Drosophila melanogaster: one gene and its partners. The protein of the gene in region 1 interacts with the protein of each later gene in a pairwise test. Each region holds a gene or a part of one and is shown in the gene's direction. Other genes may lie near its edges. The genes, in order: fd3F, X11L, B-H2 and Eip93F.

Region 1 (4,923 bases):
TTCCGGTGGGAATCCTGGTAACGGAAATATGTCTGATATACTGGGCGCCATGTCAGATCCCGAGGTGTCAGCCGCCATTCAGGTTCGTGAATACTACTTTTCTATTTCTAATACAAATGCAGTAATCATATCGTTGTTATTTATTAACTTTCGTAGGACATTTTGTCAAATCCGGGTAACATCACAAAGTACGCGTCGAACCCGAAGATATACAACCTTATCAAGAAGATTGTGCCCGGTGGAGATGTGGGTGCTGCCTTTGGCCAAGCGGGTGAAAAGGCTGGAAAGCCGAGCGAGCCTAAGCCTAAAAAGGATTCCGCCGACTTCGTCGATGACGGTTTGGACTAAGGTTTAGAAATGGGGCAGTAGTAAGACTGAAACATGCGTCGATAAAAAGAAGTTAACAAACAATTACACGAAATCGAGCGAGATTACAAAACAACAAAGAAAGAGAAAGCAACAGAGTGCGGGGAAGAAGATGGACTACACGAAAAACAAAAGGGAAAGCAACTGCCTTACACATTTTTGCAGCTGGGAAAAAACAAACATTTCCTAAGCTTTAACTTAACCAACACGTAAAAGAACGGGCGACAATGGAGAAAATTCAAATATTCAAAATACTACAAGCAGTCAGAAGAATAAGCAACATTTATTTAAATCGAGAAGAAAGAGATGTTGGAGATGCTGGAGACGCTTCTTCACATATTATTGAAAAGCATACTTGCGGCCATTAAAGTGGCAAATGAAACTATACAAAGGAGCTAGAATATGCTTAAAAACTTCACATTTGCAGTTCACAGGTAAATCAAAAGATTGTCCTGTAACGAACAAAACATGAATGTTTAGACGTCAAGTCAGATTCAAGGGTGCCGATCGATCTAGTTGAACTAAAGCTCGAGAAACAACCAAAAGAAAATAAAAAATATATATATGTTCAATAATATTAGCCTAAATTACCGAGAACGAAGAAACGGATAAAACTAATCGCATCATTTGGTCAAACAAAATTGTACTGAGTAGGATTTAAATCATATTGTATGCAAATGCATTTAGCCCCCCAACATGAAAGCAATCGCCCATTCATTCACACACTCATTCACACACTCATTCACACACTCATTCAACCAGTGATCAATGGAAATAAATAAACGAATCAACAAGAACCCGAATTGCTAATGTCCATATTTTTTGGTAAACGGGTAAAAGGGGAGATACTTTTGCTTTTTTTTCGAGCGGGTTGAACAGATGGAGCCGTAGTCCCTTAAACTATCCGGCGCATCACCTGTGTGGGTTGCTCACTTTGTATGAAGTACATTGGGTACGCATGGTGTATGAAAGCGTCGATTAGACGCTTCAATGGCTGCACCCTGCACCCTGGATCCAGAACCTATCTACCGCACCCCGCCCCATGTCAGCGCGAAATTGGCTAACGGACAGCTTGGCGCACATGTTCGATTATGGCCAAATCGAGCGACCAAGCAGAACCAGCGGCACATGACCTGGGCTCAGCGATGCCAAGACCTGGGTGGTTGTACCTAGAGGTACTTGATTGCTTTTTAAACTCAGCTTGGTACAGCGTACACGACTGATTATTTAGAAGCTATGACAGCTTTCTTTGCTTTGATATTTTTCATATTTATATATAAATTATAAATATATATTTATAAGCAGGTGATATGGTTGAAACATATATCAACGAATATGTCAAATATAATACAGTGAAGTGTCTGCATTATTTTATTGTACCTGCGCCATCACAGGTACGGCTCCTCTTTCCATCGACTGCAGACGTACCGCTTATGTGCATGACTGGGTGTCCGGGGTGGTGGATGTGAATGTGGATGAGTGGCAGGAGGGCGCAGGCGCAGCTCAGCCCAACAGCCAAGTTGGTCTGGACTCCTGGCGGCCCATCGCATTCCGTGGCCAGTCGCAGCGCGAGACGGTTAGCCAGTTAGCCAGTGCGGACCGACTAATTCCCAATTTCCGCTCTTGACTAAACTAAAGATTGAGAAATAAAGAAAGAAATATCCTTCGTCCGTCCCCCAGACGAAGCAGGTCAATTTTTTTTTCGTGTTACTTGCTCTTTTTCGCCAAGTGTGAGTTGTGTGTTTTGGCTTGGCTAACGTGATTGAAATCGAGACAGCCGGGACATCATGATTGTCAACATGCCCGTCAATGGAACGGGCAGTGCATCCAGCCCAACATCGAATCCCAGCAGCAACAACAACAACAATAGCAGTACCACCAATCAAAATGATACGAACACTAATCTTCCCGGTGATTACAACTTTCTTAAGCGCAAGTTCGACGATCAGGAGGATTTGGCTTTGGGCCACGACTACGAGCCCATCGGGGCAAATCCCTGGAAGAAGCGACACTTGGACTACGATGCCGGGGACCTGCACTTCCACCTGCAGCTGGAACAGCCACCTAGTAATCCGCCAACCAACGCTGCACCCGCCCAATCCTCGACGTCCTTCATCAACGATCTCTTTTCCTATGAGAGCAGTCTTCTGGTGCCCGCCGTCGCCTATTCGCACTGTCCACCATCGAGTGCTCCATTGGATGACAATGGTGGTTGGACCGGTGGCGAGCTGCTGGAGCTGGATCATCGTTATAACTCCGGCCTGCAGGCGGAACTGGGGCAATTGAATGCCACTTTGCCGCCGCCACCACCAACATCATCATCAGCTCAAAATGCATCCAATCATACGCAGCAGTCAACACAACAGAATGTCAGTCCTGGTCAGAACCCACATCAGAATCAACATTTTCTGGTGCCGCAGAAGCAGCGGATACAGTCGGCGGGCCGACGCACCTCATCCGGTTCGGTTAGTGGGGCCAATGAAGCCACCGAGGCGGACTTCGAGGATAAGAACCTCTCGTGGCTGCTCAACTTTAAGTTCGACGAGTTCCCGCACCTATCGCCGCACAATCAGATTCACGGACAGGCGGTCAATCTGCCGGAGGGCAGTGCTCCACCTCATCCACCATCGACGGCAGTGCCGATCGCCACGTCGCCCTGCAGTTCCTCCTCGCCATCATCCGCCTCCGCCGCATCGGCATCCGCATCCGCCATAAGCACAAATCAATCTCTCGGATCGGGTTTGGTGGATCAACGGGCCAGATCGCCCAAGAGTTGCTCCAGTGCAGCGATGCCAGCGGCATTAGGAGGAGGAGGCAACGGCTCCGCTGGCGCTTCAGCAGCGGGGGGCGTGGCCGGCGTGGGCTCCACCAAGACTGGGCGCAAGTTCGAGGAGCTGGTGATGGAGGTCACCTCGGAGTTGGACGGTAACGACATGATAGTTGCCGAGCACGTTGTCGTCGAGGATACTTCGTCCAAGGCGTAAGTGTTGCAGAAATAAAACAATATGACAGTGTCAACGGTTAAATTCTATATTTCCTAATTTATTTGAAACATCTATTTATTCCCGTTACTCATAGAGGAAAAGGGTATACTAGATTCGTTGAAGTATATATAAAATTTGTTGATCAGGATCAATTTTTAAATTTTTTTCTCATTTTATTCCCCAATATCTATCGACATCCCAGAAAGATGATTAAATTTCGCGTTCGCATTCACACTAGCTGAGTAACGGGTATCTGATAGTCGGGTAACTCGACTATAGCATTCTCTCTTTTGTTTTAATATATTTAACAATCTTTTTCTCTGATTTGTGCGTTCTCCATTTGCTTTCAATGCCGTCCTCCAATCGATGCCGCCAACGAATTTCCCCAACCACGCAATCGCCGATCCACTAAACCACCGAACCACCCACCAATGTGGCTGAAATCCAAAACCAACCACCGCAAAACAAGCAGGCCAAAGAAACCACCGTTCACCTACACGGAGCTCATCGAATACGCCCTCGAGGATAAGGGTGAGCTGACTGTGTCGGGCATATACCAATGGATATCGTAAGTACTGTCCCCCATCGAACCACCCACTGAATCAACCACCACCGCCCACCGCCCACCGCCCATTCGGATGGACGCCATTTTGTGGAGTGCTAGCCATCCTGTTATTTTTTTTGATGGCAAAAAACGCCAGCCAGGATGCAATTAAACAAATCTCAAGCATTTCGTTTTGGCCATTCCCGTTGGCCATTTGATTTCCTCGTTCGCTGGGTATTTCTTCTTACCATGTTTTCGTTCCTTGGTTGGTAACCAAACTTAAACAAAGTGCCACACACCGGCAAACAAACGATAGCGGCCACAATGAAAGTGCCAAAAGTTAGCAGCTCAAACAGATTTATGGGCTAGAAAATTGCATTTACCTTGCCTTCGCTCGCATAAGGTGAAAAACAAAAATGTTGTTAACCAAACTATTTGCGGGTTGTTCAACAAGTTGTTTATGCCAAACTGGTATTCCCTGGTATTATCAGCTTATACGGATAGCGACCCATTAATTTTGGCTTTTGGATTGTTTAGTGGCAATTGTTGAGTATACCAAATTCTTAGTTTTATGGTGATAAGTGCTTAATACGGCTCATTCCGTATTAGTTAATCATTCAATAGTATTCAAAACTAGTTAATCATTACCTACTTTTCGCAAAACGTTAAAATTTTCAAAATTCCATTTTTACCACGCTGAGTTCGAAAATATCAATTCGTCAAGAATCGCTGACGAAGAAAACAATAAGTTTTAACACATTTTTCAAGGTTCATCAATTTGGCCTTTCGCCCCCACTGCTCCCCACCTGTTTTTTGTTATTCATTTCTTTTGTTGTCTTCGAATACCCGGAATCAGTGTAAATATTTGATGCCGCAGCCGCGAATGTTGCGTGTAAATATCCTATATAAATTTACATATAAAACCACCCCGCTCGGGAGGGGGAGGCAAATAATTTATGACATTTGCCCATCACCTGCGCACCTGCACTCCTCACCACCCCCCCGCATTTAATGTAATGAATCGACAGT
Region 2 (7,865 bases), about 14 Mb from region 1:
ATCAATCGCTACATCAACTTCTCCGGCGACACCAAGAGTCTTCTGACCAGATCCGCCTCCGCGGCGCCCAGCGTGGCGGGGGGCGTGGCCGGATCCGGGTTCTACGACGGAGGCGTCGGCGACGAGGGCAATATCTCATCCGAGGCACTGGCCATTCAGGTAGGTGAAAACTAATCATTGCTAAATTCGATATCATTTGAAAAATTGGTTTCAAAAGTAACATGCTTTTTTTTCCATTTCCAGCGAACGTACTTCCTGGATGCGGGTGCCATTTCGGCGATTTGCTTCACTGTCTTCGGCGTCTGCTGCACAGTGGGCACCATTGGGATCGTACTGTACCGTCGTCGGTATCTGAACAAACCGCAGGCGCTCAGCGAACCAGACTCGAGTGTCTATATCGATGATAGCACGATGCGGGTGAGTGTAAGGATTCGTTGACCAATTGCCAGTGGCGCTTGAATGTCCTATGCACTAAATAGTTCTCTCTCTTGATTTTGCAGGACAATTCGGATGAGATGTACAGCCTGGACAACGACTCGTTTCTCAATTCGCTGGAGGCGATGACAATACAGAACTACTGGACGGATACGGTCAAACATACAAAGCTTTAATCTCCGGCCTTCCCCGTTGGAAGTCCAATCCCCTCTATCATTTATTGTACGTCTTTGGTTCGATTTCGATTACGATTCTGTTTCGTTTCGCTGTTAAAATTCCATTCCTGATTTGACAACCAGACATCATAATCATTAAGTAGCGTAGTTTTTAAGCGCGTGTATGTATTTACTAATGTTAGGCAACCAAACGAGCAACTAGTTTAAGCCCAAAACTACCAAAATTATGTTTAGTGTACGTGTAGATCCTAAGTGCGCAATGTTTTTGTTGGCCTTGACTGTTAGTTAAAGCCTTTCCCTAACAACTTCCCCACTAACCCGATTTTTGTAAACCAACCCATTGTACTCGTATCTGTTAGTTAATTATTAAACCTTATTTATATTGTTGACTATTTTATCGCCCTTCCCAACCCAAGTCTAATTTTAGAAAACACTATTTATTAAGTTTCCAACTTTGTGTCCAACAATTAAATGCAATCATTCCTTCCAGTTTAGCCTATAGAGCAACTTTACACTGTAATTAATGTATTAAAAGCGAAGCAAGCAAACAACAATTAAAAGAAAACATCACACAACCACACACCGGTGTTGCTAGAATTTTTGGGAAAATAATCCGTGTCTAATTCCTAACTTAATTCATTAAGTTTTCGATGGAAAAACAAAACTTGCTGTTAAAATTTTAATTGCTTGATAAATCTTGAACGAACGAATTATTATCACTGAAATTCTGGCAAGACTGCAAGAAATTGTTTCAATATACACAAATATATAAAACGAATTATAAGCTAACGAAGAACAAGAAAAACTGTTTACTGCCACACAATCCTTGTCAATTTTGCTCATCGAACTTTTATACACCACTTGTACTTGTACTATCCGTTCGAATGTTGCAAATATTAAACGAAAAACAAAACCCAGATGGAGTACATTAATCATTAAATGCTAAACTGATATTATTCGAAAAAGTGTTATCAATTGGCGCGGGAAATTCATCGTACAAGGAGTGTTGGAAAAGTAGACGGTACCGCGTAATTAGGGCAAGGTACAGGAGAAAGGGTAAAGTCAAGTAAAGCTGGGGTGGAGAAGGAAACATATTTAAATATGTTTAAAATGGCTTTTAGCACCTACTTAGGTACGAATTGAATAGTACCCTCTAACGCTGCTCAACACTGTCCGGCTGTTCGCTGTCGATAGCAATCGATAGGCCATCGATGTTCTAGCAGAGACTATCTATATTGCTGCCAATCGCTCTGCGCCAATCGAGTTGCTGAAGGAGTAGTGCAATAAATATGAATTAAATGGTAAATATAAAACCGCGACAGGTGTTGTTTTCGTGCCTATTTGCTGGCCGTGTTGTTGTTGCCGCCGTTTCAGTTGTTGTTGCTCGAGTGCGCTGCGTGTGTGCGTCGTTATGCGACGAGTGTGTGCATGAGTGTGTTGTGTTGTGCGGTGCCCCCACCAAAAAATAACGAAACGAAAAGCAAAGGAGCTGCAAAAAAAATACGACAAATCTATTGATTTTTAACAATACGCACATGGATAGATACACATAACGGTAACGGGGAGTTTGTTTTTTTCCCACGCCTCCAAAGTGCTGAGTGATTGCAACAATCGGCGACAACAAAGGGCTAGCACCAGCACCACCATCGCCCCCTGGCACCACCCACTTGCACCACCCACCACACATCCTTCAACCTTCGCGTGGGTGGTTGTTGTGTCTGGCTGCAGCTTCCTGCGTTTGTTTTGCCTGCGCGAGGACTTTTGGAGGCCAAGTTTACGTGTGCGCAATCAACCACGGACACGGTAGCTCCGGAACTCGGAAACTCGCAAGCTCGGTCAGTGGCAACCGCGGCGGGGGGCCCTAAAAAAGGTGTCCACATATAGACACATGGACAGGCAATAGTGGGTTAATTGCCCGCATTGATTGCGCTGGCCAGCCAGGGGGTCACCACAACCAGAGGTTACCAAACCAGTGCAGCAACAAACCGAAGCTCGAAACAATGGAATACTTATTATTAGCTAAACTCAATTACATTTAACGAGGTGAGCTAGGACCTGTAATAAGATACAAATACACATGAGAATGATTAGGGAATGATTGGGGCAAACCCAATTTAAAGCAATAGGCTTAGGTCCAAAAATAACAAATCAGCAATTTTATAGATTGGCATTTTACTGTGCTGGTTCCTGTTGTCCGTATCGCGTATGTCTAAACACACCCGGTAATCCAGGTATTTCTATGTCGATTTAAATATATAGTACGCAGCGGCAAGGTATCCAGCAAAAGTACGTCATCGACACGACCACCTGTCCCTGATTTTTTTCTGGGCTGAGCTGCAGCGCAGTGAATCATTGCCGCCTTAGATCATCGACTAATCATCCATTCTCCCCCAGGCAGTGGCCCACAGTGAGGCAGCAATCGCAGCAGCAGCAGCGGATGCAGCAGCAGCAGCACTAGAGCAGTAGTTGTAGTAGTATCGAAGCCGCAGTCCCTCATACCTGGAGAATCAAAGTTGTTGGTGCAGCCATGAACTCAAACTCCTGCAGTGACAGCAGTAACGAGTCCATGGTCAATCCACCGCACATACAGATGAACTTTGGCCAGCAGGCGCAGCAGCAGCAATCGCATCAGCACCAGCAGCAGCAGCAGCAGCAGGAACGTTATGTGTGGGAGATGCGAACCCGTAGCCCAAATGTGACGCCAGCCAGCACGGTGCTCAATTCGCCGGATCTCAATGGCGAGCTGTCCTACGTTCCGCTGCAGGGTCTTTCGCCATCGGGCGGAGGTGTTCAGGGATCCGGCAGCTATGGTTCGAATGCGGGACGCGATTCTGGCAGCTATTACTACCAGCGACCGCAGTTGCATCAAATCCGACTGGGTAGGAGTCCGGGCAGCCAGTTTGAGACACGGGATGTCCTGCCACAGGTAATTTAACTTGGAGAATTACTTAGAGGCGTAGTTTCAGTCACTACAATGAGATTTTTCTGCTTTTTCTTTAAGGGATTGGCCAGCCCCGGCTCACCAACGGATGTGGGCAAGGCGGACGGTCAGTGCCTGCGTGATGGTGAGATCGTGGTGTTCGACGACATTGACACAAACTGGATGAACAAGGCATCGAGTGGCCAGCGTCCAGGCAGCAATGAGGATGTCCTCAAGGTGACCAAAATGATTGGACAGCTGCCAATAGCCGAGTACGAGGGTTCACCGCGACGATTTGGAAGTCAACCGAATACAAATACCATTACCATGGGTGGTCCTAGAAAACGTCCGCCGGGTTTCCCGCAAAGAGTTTCGCCCACCACCAGTGTCGCTAATAATGCAACTGCTGCAGCTAAAGCATCCGTGGGCAACCTTATCGATTTGGTCGACCACGAGGAAGAGCGTTCCGGGACGCTTCGCGAGAAAACACCTACTTTCGACTACCTGTACGAATTCTCAGAGACCAGAAAGGTGCTGGAGGAGTTCTTCAAGGCGAATCCGGAGGACGAAAAGCGGTACACGGATTACACCACGGAAAGTGGAGACGATGTCGCTAGCTCGGTGAGTACTACTACTTCCAAGAAGCCTAGAAACCCATTTAATATTGCATTTTGATTGACTAGCAGCCACAAGAGTACCCAGCCACGCCCATGGAGCAGGCATATATAGGACAGCGGTTGGCGAGAATACCTAAAGATGAGCTCTACATGGTTCACCGGTCGCCTACTAAAAAGCCAGTGAGTCATAACGAAATGAAATTCATTAAAATAGCTAACGATTGTTCGATTTCTAGCCCAGTGACCAGAATCCATCGACGGCCTACCAGGAGCATAATGATATTGAGCTGTACATTGATTCGAATAGCCGAAGCAGCGGCGATTTGGCGGACACCGAACTGGAGGCAAATCTGCGCCGACACTCCCGAAACTTTACCCTGTCTCCCGAGACGACGGATTACGATTCGAATTGCGGTGATTTGGACAGTCTGTCTAACGACATTAACTGCCCCACGGATTTTGGTAAACTGTATACGAGCATGCCTGTCCTAGAAGATGGCCTGAGCAGTGGCCACGCCTCCGACACGGAGAACAACGTATCCGTGGTGTGTGACAAGCAGCAATCGTCCCAATCTCAGCCCGTCCACGAGCACAACGGTAATGGCGAGCGGCTGGAGAACGACTACAATGTGATGAGCGCCAGCTTGGCCACATTGACCACAGATGCCTCGCAATCGGCGCTGATAAGCGACTTCGCCTCACTGCCCATGCCCCCGGCTCCGCCTCCATCATCGCCGCCCCAAATCGAGATCGCCGATGCAAGTGAATCCATGACCATGGTCCCAGATGCTGATAATCCACTGGACAGTCACTACGGTGCGGTTTATGCAGCAGCTTTGGGAGGTACTCACACAGAGAAGTCAGCGGGATCAGGACTGGGGGTGACACCAGTAACTGCGGGAGGATCTTTGCCATCGCAGGCTGCTTCGGAAATCCAGGAGGCCATGAAGGAGATACGTTCCGCCTTGCAGCGTGCTAAAACGCAGCCTGAAAAACTAAAATTCTGTGACGAAGTGCTGCCCACGGATCCAGATTCACCGGTTTGGGTTCCACGCAAAGGGACGACGATCTCGACGGCCCAAGGTGCGGCGGCGGATGAGGAACCAGACACCGACCTTGAAACAGATCGTCTATTGGGTCAGCAGAGGCACGATGAGCAGGATTTCTTCGCCGATCAGGTGAGGAATGCAAACTTACAGAGATATCAGCTCAAAATAATTACGAAATAATAATTTTACAGAGCCTGGCTGATAACAATGCCAATGAGGGCACGGATATTGCCAGCAATGGGCATCTAAATGGCACGTCGGACAACAACAATCCGAATCCTATGAATAATAGCAAGCCGCAAACCTACTCGACGGCCACCATTCGACAAGGCATCGGCACCTCGTTGACACCCAATTCGCCGGACATCTGTCAGATTGTGGGCACGACCGACATCTCCATAAGCTCGCCGGAAAAACTGCAGTTCACCAAAAGTCCCACGGGCTCTATTAAATCCCTGAAGGACTCTGCCAACTCGGACAAGAAGGCCAAATCGCGGAACAAAGAGGGTAAGTTAGCACAGTTGTCAACGCCCCTTGTTGTTCGTTTACTGATATGGAAACCGATTCAACATTTCACGCTGCAATTCAAATCTATTTAATGCTGACATCACGTAAGTCTCTGTTACCCAGCAGATGTTTAGGTTTATTAAACTACCCTTATGTGTATTAACAATCAGAAATGAAGACCATTAACGCACTTCGTAACTAATTTAAATAATGTTCGTTCTTAGGTCTCTTGGAACCCAAAGTTCTCATTGAGGGCGTGTTGTTTCGGGCCAGATACCTTGGATCCACTCAACTTGTCTGCGAGGGTCAGCCGACCAAGTCGACCAGAATGATGCAGGCCGAGGAGGCCGTTTCCAGGATCAAGGTAAGTGAAGTGAAAACCTGGTGATGCACACGAAAGCACATCCATTCAAGGAAACCCCGCTAGGTTATGCTCTATGTGTGTGTCTAAAAACTTTCTCGTTCGCTTTTCTCGTTCCCTGCTGCGCATTCCTCTCGATAGGCTTTGGTAAGCGTTCGTTAGCCCCTTTCAGTCGTCAAATGATAGCATTAAGAATTAAATGCATTATATAATATATGATTTGCTATTTTTTTACCAGGCTCCCGAGGGCGAAAGTCAGCCGAGCACTGAAGTGGACCTGTTCATATCAACCGAAAAGATAATGGTGCTTAACACGGATCTCAAGGAGATCATGATGGACCATGCGCTGCGTACTATATCCTATATAGCTGACATTGGCGATCTGGTTGTGCTGATGGCTCGTCGTCGATTCGTACCGAATAGTGTTGTGGATCCATCGATCACCAGTCCATTAGGTGATGTTCCCACTCCGGGCATAGGCGAGGAGGAGTCGCCCCCCAAAGAGCCACTCAGCAAGCACAATCGCACGCCCAAAATGATCTGCCACGTGTTCGAAAGCGATGAGGCGCAGTTCATAGCTCAGTCCATTGGACAGGCCTTCCAGGTACGCGAATATTAATAATATTATTGGCACGTATAATTAACAATCAAAACCTAACCAGGTGGCCTACATGGAGTTCCTGAAGGCGAACGGCATCGAAAACGAGAGTCTGGCCAAAGAGATGGACTACCAGGAGGTGCTCAACAGTCAGGAGATTTTCGGTGATGAGCTGGAGATCTTTGCCAAAAAGGAGCTGCAAAAGGAGGTAGTTGTGCCGAAGGCGAAAGGCGAGATCCTAGGCGTGGTGATCGTAGAGAGTGGCTGGGGATCCATGCTGCCCACCGTGGTGATTGCCAACCTGATGAGTTCAGGAGCAGCTGCCCGCTGCGGCCAGCTGAACATCGGTGACCAGCTGATCGCCATTAACGGCATGAGCCTGGTGGGACTGCCGCTGTCCACCTGCCAGAGCTACATACGCAATGCCAAGAACCAAACTGCCGTCAAGTTCACCGTTGTGCCCTGTCCGCCTGTCGTCGAGGTTAAGATCCTGCGTCCCAAGGCGCTGTTCCAGTTGGGTTTTAGTGTTCAAAATGGCGTGGTAATTATAAAATGCTGAATTTATTCTTCTTATTCTAATCCTTCTAATCATATGTATTTATTTAATGCAGATCTGCAGTCTTTTGCGTGGAGGAATCGCTGAGCGGGGTGGAGTACGCGTAGGCCACCGCATCATTGAGATTAACAACCAGAGCGTTGTGGCCGTGCCACACGATACCATTGTCAAGCTGTTGTCATCCTCAGTGGGCGAGGTATGACGCGTTTTTAAATTCGTTATTCTTATATTAACAATACCTTTCCAATCAGATCCTGATGAAGACAATGCCCACGTCCATGTTTCGTTTGCTCACCGGTCAAGAGACGCCAATCTATATATAAATATATATGCAACTGTTCACACGCCTACGCTGGAATCGAAAAACTATAAATTCGTCAACTGCAACTTGACCAGCTTAAAGTTACATCGATTCGCAAAGAGACCTTAAATTGGAATTTGTTTAGTCTTAAATTGTTCATTGATTATTTGTCTTTATGTATTCACATTGCAAGCATAATTGTAGTTAATTTAAATGAATTGCAAATGTATTAAGTCTACAATGAGATTAATTGTTCGTCGTCAAATCGTTCAGGTGTCCACAGCGACCACAACTGCAATAGAGAGATTACTATTACTGGAGTTACAGAAAATGCTACTTTTTGGT
Region 3 (4,828 bases), about 14 Mb from region 1:
AGAAAACAATTATCAATAAGTAAATTACATAAAAAAAATGATAAGTTTATGTTCATATCTATTAATGCTATAATTTATATTACAGGAAAATCAATCTCATGGTTTATTCAGAGGCAATACAAACTGTACCCAATGATCCCGGTCACGTCTTCGTTTTCCTGCTCCAGCCCGATCGTTTGTCAGGTCGTAAATGCTTGGGATATATCTATGATTACGATACTCTATTCCTGGAAACGTTTGGCGACAGGAACTCGGATACATACCAATGGCCAGTAATACCCGACAATTGCTGCCGTGAGGCCATTTTGAAAAGCTAACTATACAATAAACATGTGGCAGCGGGAGCATCCGCCTCCAGGCGCCAAAGACTGCCTCCTCGAGTAGCTCCTGCCCACCGGAGCACGCTTGTTAGTCCACAGGAATGAGGTGGTAGGAACCCCCAGTGGTATACAGCCCCCTCTTGGATAGCCACCCCCCCCCTGAGACCCATTCACTTGCACATTAGGCAGCAAATTGACATCGATACAAGAAGTAAACCAGAAGTGAGTGGAAAGAGAGGGCACTATCGCGTGCGACAGAGAGGAAAGCGTGCAGCATTTAACTGCTGCCAATTTACTGTTTAAATGCCAAACAAAAAGTGTTAACAAGCGCAAAAATAACAAAAGACACCAACAACAAAGTACGCAGAGCGAGAGGGCCCGAGGCGAGCCACAGGCGGCCAGCCCTTGGGCCAAAGCGAGACAGACAGATGTCGTGCCGGCTGCCTCTCGCTCGCACAAACCAGTTTAAGGGGGCGTGGCCTGGCCACAAAACAGGGTTGACAGCATCCCATCCATCCATCTTGCCATCCGGATATCTGTCCATCAGATACAACAGCAAAAGCAACATTAGAAGCAAAAGCAAAGGCGGCAGCTGCCCTGCTGCCATAATCGTGTTGAGTTTCAAGCTGCCATAAAAAGTTTATGGGAAGTCGTATTGAACAGGGAAACCTTCTAAAACAGTATGATTTTGCTACTGCTGGAGGCATATTGCATAAATGTTCTGTCATTCCTGTACAAACTATATTTAGTTGGAAAGTTAGATAACAAGTTATTAGTATATTAAAGATGCATGGCTACATATTTTTTAATAATACTCGCTATTATAATAAAAGTTTACCATTAACACTGTTCAAATTTTGTTTGAAAGCAGCTAAAATAATATGAAATAACCAACTGACCCCTAAGACTATATTTAACCCTCAAAGATAACGAACACGTTTTTGTTCAGATTTATAGAAATCAAATAAGTACAAATAACTTTTTATATAAATTGACAAGACTTAATAAACCCTATTTATTTAAGGATATGAAGTTAATTGCAATACTTTTTGTGCGGTTGTAGTTCGAAACAGCCAACTCCACCACGTGCCATAAAAATAACCGTTAGACGTGCGGCCATTGCCGGCGGAAAGTCACCACACCCGCCAACTTGAGTCCCGCTGATTGAAGCCTAATGAATGTCAATTGCTGCCAATTACGACCAATAAGTGCGGGCAATAAATGTGGGCAGCCGTGGGTGCGAGCGAGAGGCAGTCGCGGGGCGACAGAGAGGGAAACTCACCACACCGCCACTTGGCCAGGTCAATGAGCGAAAAAGAGACGACGACAGGTGGCAGCTGATGGGAAGCGGTGGCTCAACTGGTTTTTGCTGCCTTCTTGTTGTTGCTGCTGTTGCCGCTGCTGCTGTTGTTGCTGCTGCTGCTGCCAGTTGCTGTTGCTGGCAGCAAGTTTCAGTTTCGGTCGAAAGCCAAAGGCGAGCGGTTGTTGCTCCGCTATTGAACATCACAAAGTGTGCGCACCTCAGCGACATTTGCGTTAAAAACCCAGTTGGGCCAAGAAAACATTAACCAACGCAAGAGCAATCGAAAGCGGAGTTCAAGAACTTGTCAAGTTTAAGAAATAAGTGCGAGCAGCTACCAACAATTAACTGAAGAAGTGCTAAAAACTCGCGTCACCCATACATACATACATAGCTGTTTGTTTTTTTTCGGTGCAAAGTGCAGGTGCAGCAGCGGAGTCGTCGGCTAACCACACATGACCACAATGCCACCGGAAATGTCCGCAACAACGGCAGCTCCCGTTGGCAGTGCACCGAGTGCCACCGCTCATCATCCCGCTGCCGTCGGCGGCGGTATGCCGCGTCCAGCTTCCCCGGCCGTCGGCAGCAACACGACGACAGCCACGGCCACAACGGCGACGCGATCCCGCTTTATGATCACCGATATTTTGGCAGGAGCCGCGGCCGCATCGGCGGCGGCAGCAGCAGCGGCGGCCGCCTTGGCAGCCGCCTCTTCCGGCGGTGGGCGTGGCAGTCCGACGGACTCGGAGCGGGAGCAATCGCTGGTCGCCCAGCATCACCACCATCACCAGCAGCAGCAACAACACCATCATCACCAGCAGCAGCAGCAGCAGCAGCAACATCAGCAGGCTGCCCTGCAACAGTACATCGTGCAACAGCAGCAGTTGCTGCGCTTTGAACGGGAAAGGGAGAGGGAGCGGGAGCGGGAACACTATAGGGAGAGACATTCGCCGCCTGGCAACAATCCCTATGCCCACCACCCCATGCCGCCCCATCTGCTCGCCCACTTTCCGCCCGCCCACTACGCCGTGCTGCAGCAGCAGCAACAGCAACAGCAGCAACAGCAACATCCCCACCCGCATCATCTGCAGCTTGAGAGGGAACGATTGGAGGCACTGCATCGGCATGGCCACGGGCTGACCGGTGATCCTGCCCAGCACTTGAGCCACTTAAGCCACCTGAGCCACCAGCAGCACCATCCGCATCTGCATCATCCCATGCACGATGAGCGATCCCGGTCACCGCTGATGCTGCAACAATTGGGCGGTAACGGTGGCAATAACAACAACAATAACAACAACAGCAGCAGTGCCAGTAACAACAACAACAACAACAACAACAGTGCTAGTGCCAACAGCAACATCATCAGCGGCAACAGCAGCAGCAGCAACAACAACAATGGCAGTGGCAACGGCAACATGTTGCTCGGAGGACCCGGCAGCAGCATTAGCGGCGATCAAGCCAGCACAATCGACGACAGCGACAGCGATGATTGCGGTAAGTCGCTGATCATATATCATAAACATACAATGAATCTGTATAGCAATATGGTTTAAGCTGTATTTCAAGGATAAGGCTACATCGGGAATATATAAAGTATATATATATATATATAGCAGAAATAATTAAGTTGCTAACTAAAGGAAGAGACTAGTTCATGAGACAGACATACAGATTCAGATGGATCTTGAAGAATAGCACCAAGTGCGGAATATATGTATATGTATATAGACACTTTATTGCAATATCAAGTAATATGAGAAGAGCAAAGCGGGGATACATATAGAGAATATATATATATATATATATAGCAATATGATATTTGTGATATTTCAGGGACTGGACTGGATGGGAAAGTGAAATCTAATGAACAACTGATATTCAAAATAGCAAGAAAAAAGAAAGACAAGATATAATGCGAGATATAAATGTTTCAAAATACCAATCAAGGCTTTTTTATACGTGTTCCTGACGTACAAATTAAAAGCAATCAAAATCTAGCTAATATATATGTATTTAAGCTCTAGTAAATTTGCATAGAATATTAAAGGAAATAAAGGAAGCTAGTAATTATAGTATACAAATTGCCATTAAAACCAGTTCTATTTATAAACTTTACCAAAGTTCAGCTGTATTAGCTATTTTATTAAACGAAAAGGGCTTTTATGGCTATAGAGAATAGAAATTATTTCATAGTATGCACACCAATAAATGTTAGCTGATAAATTTGATTCGGTTGGTATTAATTTGAAACCCAAACGGTGGACTTTTGTTTATACACTGAAGGGGATCTCGAAACCAATTTACACCTATCCATCTGACCCCTGAGTTCGCACCACTTTAAATTTACGATTTTCCCCGCGACCGGGATATATCATATATTGAGTGCTAAGCGTGGTTGTTTTTCCTGTTGTCTTTGTCGTTTTTGTTGTGGCTGTTGGCTAATAGATAACGGCCAACAACAACCGCACCAACAACCACCGTAAATTGTGCGGCTCGAACGGGGAAAATGCTGGCTTGATAGGCGAAGACTCGAAAAATACAGGTGAGTTCGAGTCTGAGGCAGGTGTCTTAGGTTTTGTCTCTCACTCTCTCTTTCTTCCTCTACCTGTATATGTCTCTCTTTCTGTTTTTTCCTTTTCAATCCCCCCCCCCCCCCCTCAACTTATTGGCCAGATTAGCCAAGTGTTCGCTTATTTTCAACATATTTCCCAGTCAAAACTGTCAACAGAATACCCTTGACTGCCACGCCCCCCGCGTGCCGTCAACCTTGTTTTGCATGCAACAATCTAATTGATTTTGTTGCCTAGCTTTAGTTTTGCTTTTTTCCTCTCGTTAAGTGCTTTTAAACGATATGCAAATTATAACAAATTACTATTAAATAGCCGTAATCGTGCGTTTGCAATTGATTTGCAGTAATATAATTTAGAAAGGCCGAGAACGTGCACAAATATATATGTATGTATTTGAAAGAGCATGGAAATCAGAACAAAAGGTCAGAATGTTGAGTTTGCTACAAAAGATGTGTGTGTGTTTTTATTATAGATTTTTTACGAAATCCCAAAGGATGATAAAAATGAGTTTCCACTATTTTTGGATAACTAAAATGCCGAGTAATTTTAGTTATTTTAATAATTGCCCGGTCTCAATTCAGTTTTTTTTTTGTTAACGAGAAATTATAAGCCCCTAAGCAATTTTGTTTCAATCA
Region 4 (4,617 bases), on another chromosome or scaffold:
ACTAAAAATATTTTCGTCTACAATGACATGCAATTGAGTCGCTGCAAGTCGACTCGAATTGCAGTCTGTTCTCAGTCGGTCATTTCCTCAGTTGGTCAGTCAGTCCGGTCGTCAGTTTCCCAGTTGTTCAGTCGCTAAGGTGCGCAATCAGTTCCTCGTTGGGGCTTTTGGTTAATAATAGGTACTCACTCAGTTTCTCAGTCAGTCAATGGGTAATTTTGGGGTTAGTCAGGCTATATTAAAGGCGATTATCTTATGTCTTGACAAAATGACTTTAATATAAAGTCTTGAAGTTCTTAGCAAACATAATTAGCTGGAAATGGCCTTATGAAAAATGTCAAAAATTTGACGATTTTTGATAACTCAAATAAAAATAACTATAAGAGAAGTCTGTGGGTTGGTATAATTTATAAGGCTTAACAAAGGTATTTGGGTTATAGAACTGATACGATTGTTTACTAAAAATAAGCTGTCTACTTTTACGACCCTCGAGTAGTGCACTATAACGATTCCCGGAAAAATGCAACGCTTATCTGGGCTCCAACCCAATTATCGATCGCTCAATCCTTGGGGGTCACCATCCATAGATCCTTTCCCGACTCTCTCACAAAAATCGCAATTCTTCAAAGTGGCAGCCCAAATGAATTATTTTAGTTTTCAGTACGCTCTGGCACTCGACATTCGCACCGAAAAAAGTGAAAAAACGAAAACAATACGAAAACAAAAAAGCTCAAAACCAAAATAAAAACTAAAAAAGTGCATGTGCAACGGTAGCCTACGTATTCCTCCCGCCGATTTCCGCGTGCCCCGCCGCTCCCCCGGCCGAGAAGAGCCTCCGTTGTGGGAAGTGGATGTGGAATATATAGACGTATAGCCGGCTCGGATCGGTTTGCTTCGTCGCTGGCCGCCAGTTGCATTTCGAGCGGTGAGTGAGCGCCTCCAGTGCCGAACGCTGGCGATTCGGACGCGGACCTAAAATCGAAAACCCACCAAAACTGAGGCTGAGCAGAAAGAAAAAAAAAATGAAATGCAAGCACCACTACTGGCAGCGAATCGTTGCAAATTTTTACAAACTCGAGAACAAAATGCTGCTTGAATAAAAAAATATGTGTGAAATTCTCAGAGAGCGTGCATTATGCATATGTGTGTGTGTGAGTGCGAGTCTCTGTGTGTGTGTGTGTGTGTGTGTGCAATTAAAAATTGCACTGTACTTGCTCTTGGCCTTTCCCGCGACTTGAGCGGAAAATCCAGCGCTCTCTGGGCCACCATTTTCTTTTTCTTCGCTTTTTTTCCAACGTCTACTTCTAGCCTCTTGCTGCTGTGGCTCTCTGTTAACCAATTTCGCTTTTAGCCTTTTTTTACCGGCTGCCATGAATGAAGGCACCCATACAGTTGCACGCAAGCCGGCTAACTCGCTCTCCCAACCTCTCGTTCTCTCTCCCTTCCGCTCCCTCTCGCTCTCATTGAGTGAGTTCTGCGAATGCACTTTTTGGCCGAGTGGAAATGCTGGCTTGCTTGTGTGCGTGAGTGCATCCGCTCGTCGAACGCGACTGCAGCGGTCTGCTCAGCTGTGGCAGCAGGCTGGCTTTAGCTTTATTGTCCGTCGGCTCGAGCGGTTCGCTTCGGTCCCGGCCCCGCTGATTTGGATTTGGATTCGGATTCTCGGTTTCTCGGTTTCTCGGCTTCACGCTTCCTCGGATTCTCGGTTTCTCGGATACTTGGCTACTCCGATAGTGGGATATTCTCGCCAGACTCGGCTTCTCTGCGAGATTCTCCATTCTCCTCACTGCCCAGACGGGCGATTCTTGTGCCCGACCGATTTGGGTTCGGATCGAAGGCGGCGTTCGCTGCTGCAGCGTTTGCCGGCGTCGCTGCCTGCGCTCTTGCGTATTAGTAACGTCGGTCTGTCAGTGTCAGTTGTTGTTGTTGTTGCTTGTTTGTTGTTGACGCTGGTCGCGGTGTGCGAATTTTTATTTATTTTCTACTCACACACACATACACAGACAGACACACACACACACGCACACGCACATGCACACTACCTTTAACATGCTTCCTCTTCCCGAGCGAAAACAACAACAACAGCAACTGAGAGAAAAACCTTTAACGTGCGTTTTTCTTATGACAAAAATTTTTTAGTTGACATGCCAGGCCACTAAAAACGAAAAAAAAAAATAAAAAAGTAAAAAGAGCTGAAAATGCAAAAGTGCTGTGACAACCACAAATAAATGATAGAAGGAAAAAAGTTTAATACATTAAAAACAAATACCACAAACAAAGTCAACGTTTTCATCGTACTGCAAAAAAACCACAAATTTTTTACATATTTACATTAATGAGCTTGTAAATATTGGGACGCATTGCCACGAAAAGTGAGTAAGAATTCTTTTTTAATCATTCCATTTATGTACATACATCAGAATGGGGAAAAAATTCATGAGCCAGCACTTTTGGGTTCTTTGTAAACATTACAAAAATTAATTAAATCATGTATGTTTCAATTAAATGTATTTTTTGTATTATAAAAATTGCATTTTGTCCTCACTCTCTCTCTCTCTCTCTTAACGGCTTACTAATTATCCTCAGTGTAGATATTTTCTTATCAATTCGGGTAGCGTATTTTCTGGGATTTCCCTGAATTATGTAGCTCCATTTGCATTATAATTAAATAACTAAGTTTACTAGAACTAACTAATGGGTGATTTATGCAAAAAATCAAATAACAAAATACTTGAGTGCTAAGTGTATAATTTAAATTACCCTGCATTAGTTTACAAAGAACCTTTCCGGATTTTCCCCAACTGCAACAAGTTTTTGAGCTGTATAGTTATTATTATACCTATGCCGTATCATGCATTTTCCAATTGTTTTGGGATCGGTTCCGTTGACTAAATCGGATGACTCTAAATGCCTGTGATTCATCTTAAATGATTGCACTGATTTGCTCACTTTCAAGATGTTCGTTGCTCATAAGAAATAATAATAGATCATTCTAGAATAGGGAATAATTTGATAAGAACTTATATGCGCCTTCGCTAAGTAATATTGAAAGAGGTAATTAAAGTCTTGTTACTCAAATGTATAGCAATTCGCGAAAATCAATCGAGTGTTTATGAAAAGCTGAAAAACTTTCCATCGTCTCAAGAAATCAACACAATTGCATTCGGAAGCCCAACAAGTGCCTCTAATGGGTGTATAGATACCACTGCCCCCTTCCAGCACCATCGTTATATTTGCTTTTCCAAACAATCTGTCACCTACAATGGACTTGAATGGGTTTTCCTTTATGAGGCACAAAAAAAAATACGCGGAAATCTTAACGACCAATTAATGCGCAAATATAAATGTCAACTTGAAATTTATTGAATTTGAATGAAAAATAATATGTATATATAACAATTAAAAAATAAAATAGAGAAAGACAAATGAAGTGGATGCGAATTAAGTGCGAGCGAATAATAAAAATTTCTAATTAATGCGCTTCTAATTTCAAGTTGACAGACGGAAAGCACTGCGCTTGATGTTTTTATTATTATTGTTTTTATATATGTAGATATTTCGCCAAGTGATTCGCTTTGTGCACAATTGCATTTGATTTCGAATAATTCATTTGCGGCGATTTATGACACAGTCTGACTGCCACATAGACGGAAAAAAATAAGACAATGAATCAGTCGATGGTATAAGGGGGATATAAAAGTGGGGGCAGACTGATGTGTCGCCCACGCGTCGCAATTTTCTTTTCACTCGCCGTTGTCCTTGAGGCTTTTCCGCATTTCACGACGGCGACAAGTTTTTAGCTTTAAATTGCCGCCGAGGCGACAGAAGCCAAGATGGATTGAAATTTAATTTCATGTTCTCAAATTGATTTGTGCGGATATCCATTAGTCATCCCGGCTTCTAGCCGCTGGCTTCTGGCCAGGATTAGCATTAGACGGGAGTGCAACAGGCGGGCAACATGCAACACACAGTCATCTGACTACCAGTCTGCCTTTCTTGGTGTGTGTGTATGTGTGTGTGCTGCACGTAAGAAACGAGTTATTGGAACAGGTTCATGACCTTGACCATCAACACAAGGCAGCAGCAACAACACGAGCAACACGGGCAACATCAGCGGCACAACGGCAATTGCAACACGGCCTCCTCATCTCGCCTCCTCCGGCAGACAAAAGGAAGTGGTTGCATCTGCATTTGCATTCGCCATTGTTCGCCTTGGATTGGATTAGATGTTGCAACAACAACAGCAGCAGCAAAAGCAACAGCAACAAGTTGCTGCCACTCCGGGAAGTCGGGCAGTAGTCGCCATGCATTTATCGCTCACTGAGTGAGTGACTCACACTCCAAAAGCCAAAAGGGTCTAGTGGGTCTATGTACATCTACGCTCAGGGAAATGCGTGATTCACTTTTATGGAAACTAAAAAGCCTGCACTTCTGTGAGTTGCCATTATATATATATATCAACTTTTATCGAAATTATGCATGCGTTTTGAGTGAATTTACCGCAACTACGCTTACTTTGAAATAATTAGGAATAAATTCAAAAAGACTACTTATATATTCAGCTTAGTTGTGGTGCTAATGTAATATGCATAATTATATCTCCTCATTTAGTAGAGA

What was found.
Region 2: the proteins of fd3F (region 1) and X11L interact in a two-hybrid assay, tested with the Drosophila melanogaster proteins (one large-scale study listed by BioGRID).
Region 3: the proteins of fd3F (region 1) and B-H2 interact in a two-hybrid assay, tested with the Drosophila melanogaster proteins (one large-scale study listed by BioGRID).
Region 4: the proteins of fd3F (region 1) and Eip93F interact in a two-hybrid assay, tested with the Drosophila melanogaster proteins (one large-scale study listed by BioGRID).

What each region holds. Positions count from the first base shown.
Region 1 is NC_004354.4:3,800,404-3,805,326, forward strand, and holds the start of fd3F (forkhead domain 3F), read left to right. Parts: upstream 1-1,912; 5' UTR 1,913-2,153; coding exon 2,154-3,346; intron 3,347-3,822; coding exon 3,823-3,918; intron 3,919-4,923. Other genes in the region: HIP (Hsc/Hsp70-interacting protein), read left to right, coding at 1-82, 157-348.
Region 2 is NC_004354.4:17,597,768-17,605,632, forward strand, and holds the start of X11L (X11L), read left to right. Parts: upstream 1-1,840; 5' UTR 1,841-1,912; intron 1,913-2,223; exon of another isoform or gene 2,224-2,654; intron 2,655-3,005; 5' UTR 3,006-3,138; coding exon 3,139-3,537; intron 3,538-3,612; coding exon 3,613-4,152; intron 4,153-4,214; coding exon 4,215-4,328; intron 4,329-4,384; coding exon 4,385-5,326; intron 5,327-5,388; coding exon 5,389-5,704; intron 5,705-5,928; coding exon 5,929-6,068; intron 6,069-6,206; coding exon 6,207-6,212; intron 6,213-6,303; coding exon 6,304-6,669; intron 6,670-6,727; coding exon 6,728-7,204; intron 7,205-7,274; coding exon 7,275-7,415; intron 7,416-7,470; coding exon 7,471-7,542; 3' UTR 7,543-7,865. Other genes in the region: CG12991 (uncharacterized protein), read left to right, coding at 1-159, 244-417, 480-611.
Region 3 is NC_004354.4:17,312,795-17,317,622, forward strand, and holds the start of B-H2 (BarH2), read left to right. Parts: upstream 1-1,786; 5' UTR 1,787-2,075; coding exon 2,076-3,117; intron 3,118-4,828. UniProt on the Drosophila melanogaster protein: B-H1 and B-H2 are regulated by members of the wg signaling pathway; wg and dpp. B-H1 and B-H2 are coexpressed and functionally required in R1 and R6 receptor cells and primary pigment cells for normal eye development.
Region 4 is NT_033777.3:21,947,501-21,952,117, forward strand, and holds the start of Eip93F (Ecdysone-induced protein 93F), read left to right. Parts: upstream 1-1,613; 5' UTR 1,614-1,902; intron 1,903-2,139; 5' UTR 2,140-2,372; intron 2,373-4,617.